3 linked regions of the Cricetulus griseus genome follow. The protein of the gene in region 2 interacts with the protein of the main gene of each other region in a pairwise test. Links are inferred from orthologs where the notes say so. Each region holds a gene or a part of one and is shown on either strand. Other genes may lie near its edges. The genes, in order: Batf, Junb and Batf3.

Region 1 (4,284 bases), on a different chromosome or scaffold from region 2:
AGGGTTGAGATTCTTGTTTGGTAAGTTTGGTCACATTGTCACCAGGCAGAATTTTATCAGTGGAACCTGAAATGCTTTTGGGACCATACATACTGTCAGTCCTCAGATTAAGCAAAGGGAGCATTTGGCTTTGAGCCACACTGGGAACATAGCAAGACATTTTATTTTCATGTGTATAAATGTTTTGCCTGCACGTGTGTGTGTGTGTGTGTGTGTGTGTGTGTGTGTGTGTGTGTATGTGTGTGTGTGTGTGTACCCTGTGCATTTCCTAGTACATGAGGAGGCCAGAAGAGGGAGTTGGAGGCCCCAAAACTGAAGCTACAGATGGTTGTGAGCCCCCACGTGGGTGCTGGGAATAGAAAAACACAAGTCCTCTGGGAGAGCAGCCAGTGCTATTGACTGCTGAGCCATCTCTCTTCCCCAAACCTGTTTTAGATCACCAAAGATGAGAATGGGATTCTTCAGGAAAACTACAAACATGCTTTGTCATGGCACATATGACAAGCATGAGCATCTCCATAGCATGCTTTACAGGGTATGGGGGCATTACAATTCAAATTGTTCCTCACTCATTGCAGTAACCCTGAGAGGTAGGCAGGGCAGGTTTTAGGTGGGGGTGGAGGTAGGTTTTCATCACTGTTGATCTGAATACAAGTCCAGAACTTCCCTCACCCATTTTGACATTCACTCCTTGCTGGGTTCTGACCTGGTGACTGACTCCTAAAGATTCAAGGTCAATCTTGAACTCCTGAAGGTCAACCTCTCCACCGAAGGCATCCCTTTTCTTGGGAGAATGTCAGAGCCCTGCTGAGAGGCACAGGTGATGGTAAACTCCACAAGCCCCCTTCCTCTGTTCCTAGCAGTATGCCTCAACTCTGCCACACTTATGCTCCCACCGTGAAACTTTCTAGGAAGCAAGGGACAGGGTGTACACGGTATACATTCCAGAGCCTCTCTGTGACTCTCAGAGAGTCCCAACTTCTTGTTTGGCAGTCTGTAAAAGACAGTGCCCTCCTTCTCCTTTGTCCCCAGAACACCCGCACTGTCCTGTGGGTGACTGAGGAAGGCTCAACCCAAAACAGGGTGGGCAGCTGCTTTCGGGTGAAACCCAGAAAGAGGTCCCGGTCTTGTTGCTTTATTTGTGTTTAAAACTCAAGTCGTGTGCCGGTGGAAACTCTCTCCCGCTGTTCCCCGCTCTCTGCCATGTTGACAGAAGAGGACTTGCTAATTCTGGCTGGGGATTTTCCCTGCCTGGCTGTTTTTCTCTTTTATCTCCATCAATTGAAGAGAGCTTGCTCTGCCTTTCAAACTGCCGGAAGAAACTGGGGTTTTGTGTATTTTTTTTCTTTCACCTAATTCTGTGGTCTTTTCCCAGATATGTATTTTCTCTCGAACTACCTTCTAACTTGTTGACGTTTCCGCCCATGTGACTTCCAGCTTGAATTACCAGAAACCACAAGAGAGAGCGTGTGCGCAAGCCCCAAAGTAAGCGAGATGTCCCTTTGGGGAGCAGTCCCTCTGCACCCCAGAGACAGGAGGACACAGGGGGCCGTCGGAGGTGGCTGCCGGGCAAGCAAGGGAGACACCCGTGGAAGGTGGCGGGCCGGTGGCCCCCTAGCAGTCAGGAAGAGGAGCCAGCTAGTGAGAAGATCGCCCAGGGGCATCTGGGCGGTTGTGGGAGAGTCCGGAAGATTACAGCCATGCCGCACAGCTCCGACAGCAGCGACTCCAGCTTCAGCCGCTCTCCTCCCCCTGGCAAGCAGGTACCCCTACATCCCCTGCCTTCTAAATACCCTGGGGTGGTGGAAGAGGGCCACACTCCCCAGTTCTGCCTGGGGAGCTTTTGGGGGGGGGAGGAAGTAGCTCTCTACTTGGCGGGGTGCTCTCTAGCAGAGTCTGGATGTGGTATTTGCTATTCGGAGGTACAAGTGGCAAAGCCTTCATCCCGCCACAAGCCCCCTTCCTCTGTTCCTAGCAGTGTGCCTCATCTCGGCCACACTTAGGTTCCCACTGTGAAACTTTCTAGGAAGAAAGGGTCAGGGTGAATATCACAGAACTTAGAGGAAGGGTTCATACCGCTAGCAGAGGAATCTGTCAGTAGGCTGCTGGCGGACTCCACCCAAATCCTAGATCTGTAGCTTTCCAGGAAGAGCCAAGGGGCCAGACAGAACCGAGGTTAGGGAAGAGAAATACAGTAAGCCAAAGCAAGGTAGGGAGGAAGGAAAGGATAACTAATCTACCGGCCCAGGGACGGCCTCTGTGACTACAACAGTCAGTGGGGAGGGAGGCTGAAGTCACAGCCAGCGTCTTTCCCTGAGGCTTCCAGAGAGGAGAAAGAAGGCAGTGGCTCTGGAGGTTTGTTGGAGACCTGAACTAGAAGCTAACATCATCTTTGGGAAGCCGGGGACGGAGGGAAGGATTCTGGGAGTCTTAGAGCCTTGATTGCCAAACCTAGATGCTTCAGCGCAGGAGAGATGCCTCAGATGGGATGCCCTTCCCACCTTGAAATTTCTGGAGCTCTCTCTACCACATTCTTGACACCCTTGCTCTAGAAAACTCTCTTCCTCATCCAGCATAGACCCACTGGATTAAGCTTTTCTACATCTCAGTAACTTAAAAACTTCATCCTCTCCTTAGCACACATATAGGGCAGGGCATATCGCTCAAGGGCAGAGTGCTTTCCTTACACATATCCCAGGGGCTTGCAAAATGCTGCAGCCAAAATAGAAATATGCAGCCACCCCTTACCACATCTGTCATAGGCCATCATCTGCTATTACACCTACTGTAAGCTCCTAACCAAAAAGCCGTACCGGTGAAGACCTCTACAGGAAAATAGTCAGTCCCTTGGTCACAATGGTATTGGAGTGGCTCAGACTGTGTGGAAGATGGTACCATACTCTTCTTAAGAAGGAAATTACTCAGAGTTCCATGGTAAACTCGTCCCCTGCAGCATTATGAGAAGGGTGCTTCCTTGCTCTATTTCACCAAATGTCTGCCTGCTAGAATGATCTGGAAGTTTTGGATAAAGAGGGAAGAGGGTCAGAGCCTGGCCCCAGGATTTGTGACCTCTCTGACAAGGTAGGAGTTGCTGAAGGGCTTCTCTTAGTGTCTTCACTGACCTGCAAAGCTAGAATGAACCTCCCTGATCTTCTTTAGGACTTACTTACATCCAAAGCATGCTTTGTCTTCCAAAGTCCACATTAGTAGCTCTCTAAAGCAGGTGGCTTCCACCTCAACTCATAGACTTATTTATGGCCCCTCATTGTAGCAGGCATCAAAGGTCTGGACTAGAAAGGTCTCAAGATGGCTGCACAATAAAGGGGATGAAGGAAAGAGAGATCTGGGGTGGGGCCCTCTGCCTAAGGGTGCAGCACAAGAAAATTGCTGGTGGAGAGGGGATTCAGGCTTTAGAATCAGCACCAGGAGATGTCATATCCATGGATGGCCATGAGCTCAAGGACCAGCGTGGCAAGCCTCAGCTTCATCCTGCGTAAAATAGATATGACTGTACCTGCTCAGAGAGCTGGGGGATTGTAGCATAGTATCTCTGAAAGCACTTGTACAGACATTGGCACATAATGGATGCTCAACAAAGTTTTCAAGAAAAAAAGAAAACAGCAAAAGGAACACCAAGAAGGCAGGCGCACACACACACACACACACACACACACACCCCAGATAGAGAATGTGGGGGTAGAATAGCTCTGGAGAGAGCAGAGGTGATGGGACAGATATCATTGTCTTATCTGAGGCTTCCCAAAGCAGCCCTCCTGAAGCCTTGATGTAGCTATTTCTTCATGTAGCTTTTGATGAAAAGAAGGCCATGGGCAACCTGAGGGCCGGTAGCAGGGAATGCTGAAGGAAATGTCTTTGGGTGCAGGCTTTTTGTAAATAAGAGTATGGTTGGTACAGAAGGAACTGAGGACCAGGAAGGAACGAAGGAACGAAGGAAGGAAGGAAGGAGTCAGTTAAACGATAGAACCCATTTTGACTGGAAGAAAGGGATGGACCTACCTAGTTCTTGCTTTCACTGCTTGTTAGGACTCATCCGACGATGTAAGAAAAGTTCAGAGGAGGGAGAAGAACCGCATTGCTGCCCAGAAGAGTCGACAGAGGCAGACACAGAAAGCCGACACCCTGCACTTGGTGAGTACCCAGACTTCTTATGGTGCTCTTGTGCCTTAGGCTCTTCACCCCACGTCAGTGGGGCTGTGAGAGCCAGCTGTGATGGTTCTGCTGTGGTGGAGTTATGTACATGGGAAGAAAGAGTAAGTGCTGGGC
Region 2 (3,625 bases):
CGGGCTGCCAGGCTTAGTAGTCGTCGGAGGCTGCAGGCTGAACCATTACTAGATGGGTGAGAGCAGAGAGTGACTCGAGGCGTTTGTAGCTGGGCTGTGACTTCCTCGGGGGTCGCTTGCCCCGGTTCCTCTTCCCAGGAGCAGAATTTGGCAGGGCCCAGGGCAGGGTGCACCGTCCTGTAGGCTCAGAATGACGAGACAGGGCCGGGCTCTTTTCCCCTCGGGGCTGTTGCCACACTTCCTGCCTCGGCTCTCTTTCCCTAGTCTGTTTCTAAGGAAGGGAGTGAGGTTGGGCGACCGCGCCCCAGCTATCCTGCCCCGTCGGCTCTCCAAGAGCTGACAGGGTATCGGGTGAGCCCAGAGTGACTAAGGGAGGACTTTGGGCTTGGAGTACAGGGTATGCAGGTGCCTAAGGACCACCCACGAGGTACAGCCCCATTCGTACAGGTCCCTTGTCTCTGGGATCATCCTCCCCAGCAGATCTCAAAGCTCGGAAGCTGTGCCCTGACCTTTCTAACTCTACATCCGAATTCTTCAGGTGGCCACAGTGACATGTTCCCATCCTCCACCTCTTGTATTACCTCAGTGCACCCAGGACCCTTTCTCACCTTTGCATATCTACGTCGCCCTCCCCGCATTTCCTTCTCATTTCCGCCTATAGGAGAACCCTCAGACTCATCAACGGCCTCTAGAACCCTACTGTTCTTGCACAACAGGCGCCCCTTCCTCCAACCTGTGACAATTCCAGTCTTTCAAGCCCTTTGTATCTGGGACCTCCAGTCAATCCCCGGGTCAAATGTTAACAGATCCCTCCCGATCCTCCCTTTCCTGCTTGCTTGGGGTCTTCTAGCATATTGTCAGTTCTCAGCTACAGGCACTCTGGGTCTCTCGAGACTTCTCCGGCTTATCCCGCGGCGCCCCCTTCCCTGCTTGCTGTGCCAAGCTCTCATAGTCACCGAGGTGTACTCCCGCAGTCCTAACCCGTGTGCCTCAGCCCCTCCACATCCCTTTGCTTCGGCGTCTCCATCGCTGCAGCCCCTCCCCCTGCAGCCGCGCAGAGCCACCCGGCTCGTGGCCGCTGTTTACAAGGACACGCGCTTCCTGACAGTGACGCGAGCCGCCTCCTCCCCTTCCCCACGCTCTAGGAGGGGGCCGCGGGGGCCCGGTTCCCGCGTTGGCCAATCAGAGCGCACTTCCGCAGCTGACAAACTCGGTATAAAAGCTTGGGGCTGGGGCAGCGCGGTGGGGACCTTGAGGGTGGCCGGGCCGGTTTTGGATCCTGCAGGCAGCGGGGAACTGAAGGAAGCGACGCCGAGAAAGCGGGCGCACCACAGAGGCAGAGACGAGGTCTGGAAGCCCGGCAACGCTTTTACGCACAGCTGCCAACCGGCCGCCGCCGGCGGTCTCCAGTTCCCGAGGACGCGCGACCGGACACCGGGTCCCGCCGCAGCCGAGGACAGCTCGCCGCTCGCAGCAGCGAGGCCTGGGGCGGCCCTTCAGGGGGACCTTTCCCAGACCGCCCGGATGTGCACGAAAATGGAACAGCCTTTCTATCACGACGACTCATACGCAGCGGCGGGATACGGTCGGACCCCTGGCAGCCTGTCTCTCCACGACTACAAACTCCTGAAACCCACCTTGGCACTCAACCTGACGGATCCCTACCGGGGTCTCAAGGGCCCGGGAGCGCGCGGCCCGGGCCCAGAGGGCAGCGGGGCAGCAGGCAGCTACTTTTCGGGTCAGGGATCAGACACAGGCGCGTCTCTGAAGCTCGCCTCCACGGAACTGGAGCGTTTGATCGTCCCCAACAGCAACGGCGTGATCACGACGACGCCCACGCCTCCGGGACAGTACTTTTACCCCCGTGGGGGTGGCAGCAGTGGAGGCACAGGGGGCGGCGTCACCGAGGAGCAGGAGGGCTTCGCGGACGGCTTTGTCAAAGCCCTGGACGACCTGCACAAGATGAACCACGTGACGCCCCCCAACGTGTCCCTGGGCGCCAGCGGGGGTCCCCAGGCCGGGCCAGGGGGCGTCTACGCAGGTCCAGAGCCGCCCCCCGTCTATACCAACCTCAGCAGTTACTCCCCAGCCTCCGCACCCTCTGGGGGCGCCGGGGCCGCCGTCGGGACTGGGAGCTCGTACCCGACGGCCACCATCAGCTACCTCCCACACGCACCACCCTTTGCGGGCGGCCACCCGGCACAGCTGGGCTTGGGTCGCGGCGCCTCCGCCTTTAAGGAGGAACCGCAGACCGTACCAGAGGCACGCAGCCGCGACGCCACCCCGCCGGTGTCCCCTATCAACATGGAAGACCAGGAGCGCATCAAAGTGGAGCGAAAGCGGCTGCGGAACAGGCTGGCGGCCACCAAATGCCGGAAGCGGAAGCTGGAGCGCATCGCGCGCCTGGAGGACAAGGTGAAGACGCTCAAGGCTGAGAATGCGGGGCTGTCGAGTACTGCCGGCCTTCTCCGGGAGCAAGTGGCCCAGCTCAAGCAGAAGGTCATGACCCACGTCAGCAACGGCTGCCAGCTGCTGCTGGGGGTCAAAGGACACGCCTTCTGAGCGCCTCCCTCGCTCGCCCCGCACGGACACCCCGGCCGGGAAGGCTGGACGCCCGCCCCCCCCTGGGGTGAGGGGGGCGGGCGATGGGCACCGGCCCGGAGGTCTGGAGCGCCGCGCACACACTGGACTCTGGCTCGCTCGCCTGCGCCCAGTCCTTCCACCTCGACGTTTACATGGCCCCCCCTTCCAGCGTATTTTGTATGTTTTTTTTTTTTTTCTGGGAAGAGACCGGATTCATATTGAATATAATATATTTGTGTATTTAACAGGGAGGGAGAAGGGGGCTACGCTATCGCGGCGGAGCTGGCCCCGCCGCCTGGTACTCAGCCTGCCGGGACACTAGGGAGGGACCTCCGCCCCCTGCCCTCCCCCTCTGCACAGGACTGTGGAGAAGAAACACGCACTTCGTGTCTAGAGTCTATTTTAAGATGTGTTTGTGTGTGTGTGTGTGTTTGACTTTTTATTGAATCTATTTAAGTAAAAAAAATTGTCTTTATTAATTTCTGTGGTCTTTTTTTTTCTTCCAAGCCGGGCGGGTGGAGGGAGAAGAACGGGATGCCCCCAGTCGTCCGCTTTCGTAGCTCCCTCCTTTCAGGTGACTTAAGGTCCAGTGCAAGCACGCAGACCTCTCACGCCGCGCCCCGGCACCCGACGCGGGGCAGGCGGGCCACAGCCGGGAAGAAGCCGCCCGGGACCAAACGCGGAATGTGTAAGCAGCCCCGCCCAGCCCAGCGCGTCGGGGCTTTCCCCGCTGACGCGCCGGAAGCGATGCCCATATATGGGCCTATTCTGCTCAGTGACGCCAGCACGGTCTCCGGGCAGATTCCGGGAATCCCCTCCCCCAGCTCTGCCCGGCAGGGCCGCGGCGCCGGGAAGGGGCCGGGATTTTCCCGGGCGGGCGGCTCTCGGGGCGCGGAAAGCCCCAGGCCTGGGTCCAGGGTGCCCGCGGCGGGAGACTTACGCTCTCCTGGGCCCTGGGAGCCACCCGAGCGTCTCTCAACAGGCTGGCGCCGGAGACCCGCCGCGCCCACGCCCCCTCCATGGGACCTGACCCTGGCGGAGC
Region 3 (3,204 bases), on a different chromosome or scaffold from region 2:
ACATGCATAAAATAAAAATAATTATTTTATTGAAAAGAAGGAAAGAAACGAAAAACAAAAACAATGCCACCAGTGGGGAGTAATCCCAGTACTTAAAACTCTACAGCAGGGGAATTTCTGTGACTTCCAAGACAGCCTGGGCTACAGAGTAAGATCTTGTCTCAAAAAAATAAAATAAAATAAAATAAAAACAATAACAAAATCTGTGGCTGAAATGAGGTGAGGGGGGTCAGATAGAAGGCTGGGTAACACATGAGACAGGTGTGAGTCACAGCCAGCTCACCCACTAGGACCAAACTGGGTCAGAGACTTATTGGAAGCCTCGGTGGCAAAGGAAATGCCACTGCCTTGCCCTCTGCTACAGCCAAGGGTACTTCCCCATCTGCTATGGACATGGGGAGATGAAACGGAGGGGGACCTACTGCAGTGGCATGACCTTCCCAGAGGAGGGACGCTATGTGCTCTCCATCAGAAGAAGTTGGACAAAGAAAACTCGGTAACTATCTTTATTATCCAAATTCCAGACAGAAGATCCTGCCTCGGGGCAGGACCGGCTAGCTGCCAAGGTGAACGAGGAGTGACTCCTGCAGGTAGCTCTTGTGGGCCGCCTTCTGGATCCACCACTCTAGGGTTTGAGGACAGGTGCCCCCAGAGTGCATGATGAGCCCAGGCTGGCCCCAGAGCTCCTAGGAGGGGCACAGCCACAGGAACTCCTGGACACAGGTGTACAGGGAAACTCTTGGGTGTGCAAACCCAGGTTCTAAGCTGTATGAAAAAGGAGCGAGCTGTGGTGTCATCGGGGCAGACAGCCGGCCACAGGGTCTGGCCGAACCTGCACAAAGTTCATAGGGTACAGAAGCAGGGGGCACAACTTCTCATGTTCCTTGAGAGCCTCACTCAGGTGCCTCAGCTCCTCCTTCAGCTTTGAAATCTCCCTGCGCAGCACGGCATTCTCCTGCTCCAGGCACTCGTACTCCTGTCCAAGAGAGAGGAGAGGTAGAGACGGGCGGCGTGGAGGTGCATGACAGCGGTCCCGGCACTCGGGAGGTAGAGGCAGGAGGGTCAAAGAATTCAAGGCCAGCCTGGGCTACAGAACTCTTCCCTTTTGTTTTATTTTGAGACAGGGTCTCACTATGTATCCCAGGCTAGCCTGGTGCTCACTGTGTGTCTCAGGCAAGCCTGGTGCTCACCATGTATCCCAGGCTAGCCTGGTGCTCACTGTGTGTCTCAGGCAAGGTGCTCACCATGTATCCCAGGCTAGCCTGGTGCTCACTGTGTGTCTCAGATTAGTTTCAAGCTTGTCGTGTTCCTGTCCACTTCCTATGTACTAGGGTTTCAGATGTGCACCATGGTGTTTGGTCACCTTGGTGTTTACTGGCTTCAGAGCTCTGTCTCCCCAAAGGAATAAAATGGTCCTAACAGTACAGCTTTCCTTTTGAATCAATACTACTGGGGTATCATGAAACGTGTCTTATGAAGTGTCTGTAATTCAGGGAGTGGTGACAAACGTGTATGTACACCTGTGTTGATATACAAAGCATCAGCTTGCACCTCCATCGCTCCAAAGTGGTCCCTCCTACCATTTACACCAGCTCTCATCCCCAATACTGACCTGCTTTTTGAAGATCTCTGGTGGGTTCATGGCCACCCCAATACCAAGAGCAGTACCTGGAACAGTATGCCTTGGCTGCACTGATAAATGCATGGATGCAAGCCTTTGGCTGCACTGATAAATGCATGGATGCAAGCCTTTGGCTGCACTGATAAATGCATGGATGCAAGCCTTTGGCTGCACTGATAAATGCATGGATGCAAGCCTTTGGCTGCACTGATAAATGCATGGATGCAAGCCTTTGGCTGCACTGATAAATGCATGGATGCAAGCCTTTGGCTGCACTGATAGATGCATGGATGCATGCTGTCCCTTCCAGTACTCTTCTGCTGTGTCTACTGCATCAGGGTGAAGAGGCTCAGAACTGGAGGGGATCAAGAACTCTTGTCATCTCCCCCAAACTGTGGAGGAACTTCTCATATGCAGAGCTAGCTCACACATCCATCTTGGGCTGGGCACCCTTCCTTCAAGGGACAGTCCCTGCCATTTCTGTGATACTCTACTCTCTTTGTAGTGATCGAAAACTCCTCCACACCCACCCATTGAGCTGGGCTCAACCCAATGGAGCCACACAGGATGAACTCAGTACTTTGCAACCTCAGCTCTTGAAATGATGGGCGACACACTCATCCCTCCCCCTTGGATGCTCTCTGAGCCTAAATGTCTCGAGTCCTCTGAGTTTCTTGTGAAGGACTGCTGGCCCCTCTGCCCTTGTAGCCACCACCCCTGGCACACACTCCAAGTTGCCGGCTCGCTGAGATGTTACTCTCGGAATGCCGTCCTCCTTCATGCTGGACCTAAGCCACAGGAGGCGTCCCCGAGTGTGCAGAAAGCTAAGCTCCAAGTGCAGGAGCTGCTGTCCCCACTCAAGTGACAATTAGAGCCTGGAGACAGGGCTTCCTGCAACCACTGAATCCCACTGTGTTCATTTGAATCTCCTCCACGGAGTCAGCTCATGGATACTTGCTGTCACACAACCTCATGGCTTCCGGGAACTTGGTTAGTCCTTTGCCCTCTTAATCCAGGCCATAGTCCACAGCTCATCACCAGCCTCTCCAGGCTGGGGTGTCTTTCAGTCTTGCTGAGCGGTCACCTCCACTCATGCCTAGCCTGACTTGTTTGGTTAGACTGTGACCCAAGCGTACCGGGCACTTCTCAAATACTAATCATTTCTAATAAACATCAGCTAAGAAGTCTGGCCTTAGAGCCCCCGAGACACGCATGCATCCTCAGCTTAGCCTGTGCAGCTCCCCTCAACCCCATTGCTTTCCTTTTCTCTGTGAGCTTAGCATGAGATCACCACCTCCAGGAAGGCTTCCCTGGGATCACAGCACATACAGGTCTCACATTTCTCATTCTGAGTTCTCTACACAGACGTACACTGTTGGATCCCACTTATAGTAAGTAATGTCTCTCCCTAAAAGTCAGAGATGCCGAGCCCCAGGAACTTCTGCCACCCTCTTCTGGACTAGCTCGAGTGGTCCAACCTGTGTGCTAACAACCACTCAGCCTGTTGTCTGTTTTCTTCCCATCTCTAGAAACCTCCCTTTCGGGGCCCCAAGAGGGACTGCAGGCACGGGCCATCTCAGGAA

What was found.
Region 1: the proteins of Junb (region 2) and Batf interact in binary tests that used the Homo sapiens proteins (3 or more experiments, as listed by UniProt). The link is inferred for Cricetulus griseus from reciprocal best matches to the Homo sapiens genes JUNB and BATF.
Region 3: the proteins of Junb (region 2) and Batf3 interact in binary tests that used the Homo sapiens proteins (3 or more experiments, as listed by UniProt). The link is inferred for Cricetulus griseus from reciprocal best matches to the Homo sapiens genes JUNB and BATF3.

What each region holds. Positions count from the first base shown.
Region 1 is NC_048598.1:118,099,431-118,103,714, reverse strand, and holds the start of Batf (basic leucine zipper transcriptional factor ATF-like), read left to right. Parts: upstream 1-1,445; 5' UTR 1,446-1,700; coding exon 1,701-1,763; intron 1,764-4,044; coding exon 4,045-4,149; intron 4,150-4,284. UniProt on the Homo sapiens protein: AP-1 family transcription factor that controls the differentiation of lineage-specific cells in the immune system: specifically mediates the differentiation of T-helper 17 cells (Th17), follicular T-helper cells (TfH), CD8(+) dendritic cells and class-switch recombination (CSR) in B-cells.
Region 2 is NC_048596.1:159,386,311-159,389,935, forward strand, and holds Junb (transcription factor jun-B), read left to right. Parts: upstream 1-1,225; 5' UTR 1,226-1,524; coding exon 1,525-2,562; 3' UTR 2,563-3,062; downstream 3,063-3,625. UniProt on the Homo sapiens protein: Transcription factor involved in regulating gene activity following the primary growth factor response. Binds to the DNA sequence 5'-TGA[GC]TCA-3'.
Region 3 is NC_048598.1:3,915,748-3,918,951, forward strand, and holds the end of Batf3 (basic leucine zipper transcriptional factor ATF-like 3), read right to left. Parts: intron 977-3,204; coding exon 794-976; 3' UTR 581-793; downstream 1-580. UniProt on the Homo sapiens protein: AP-1 family transcription factor that controls the differentiation of CD8(+) thymic conventional dendritic cells in the immune system.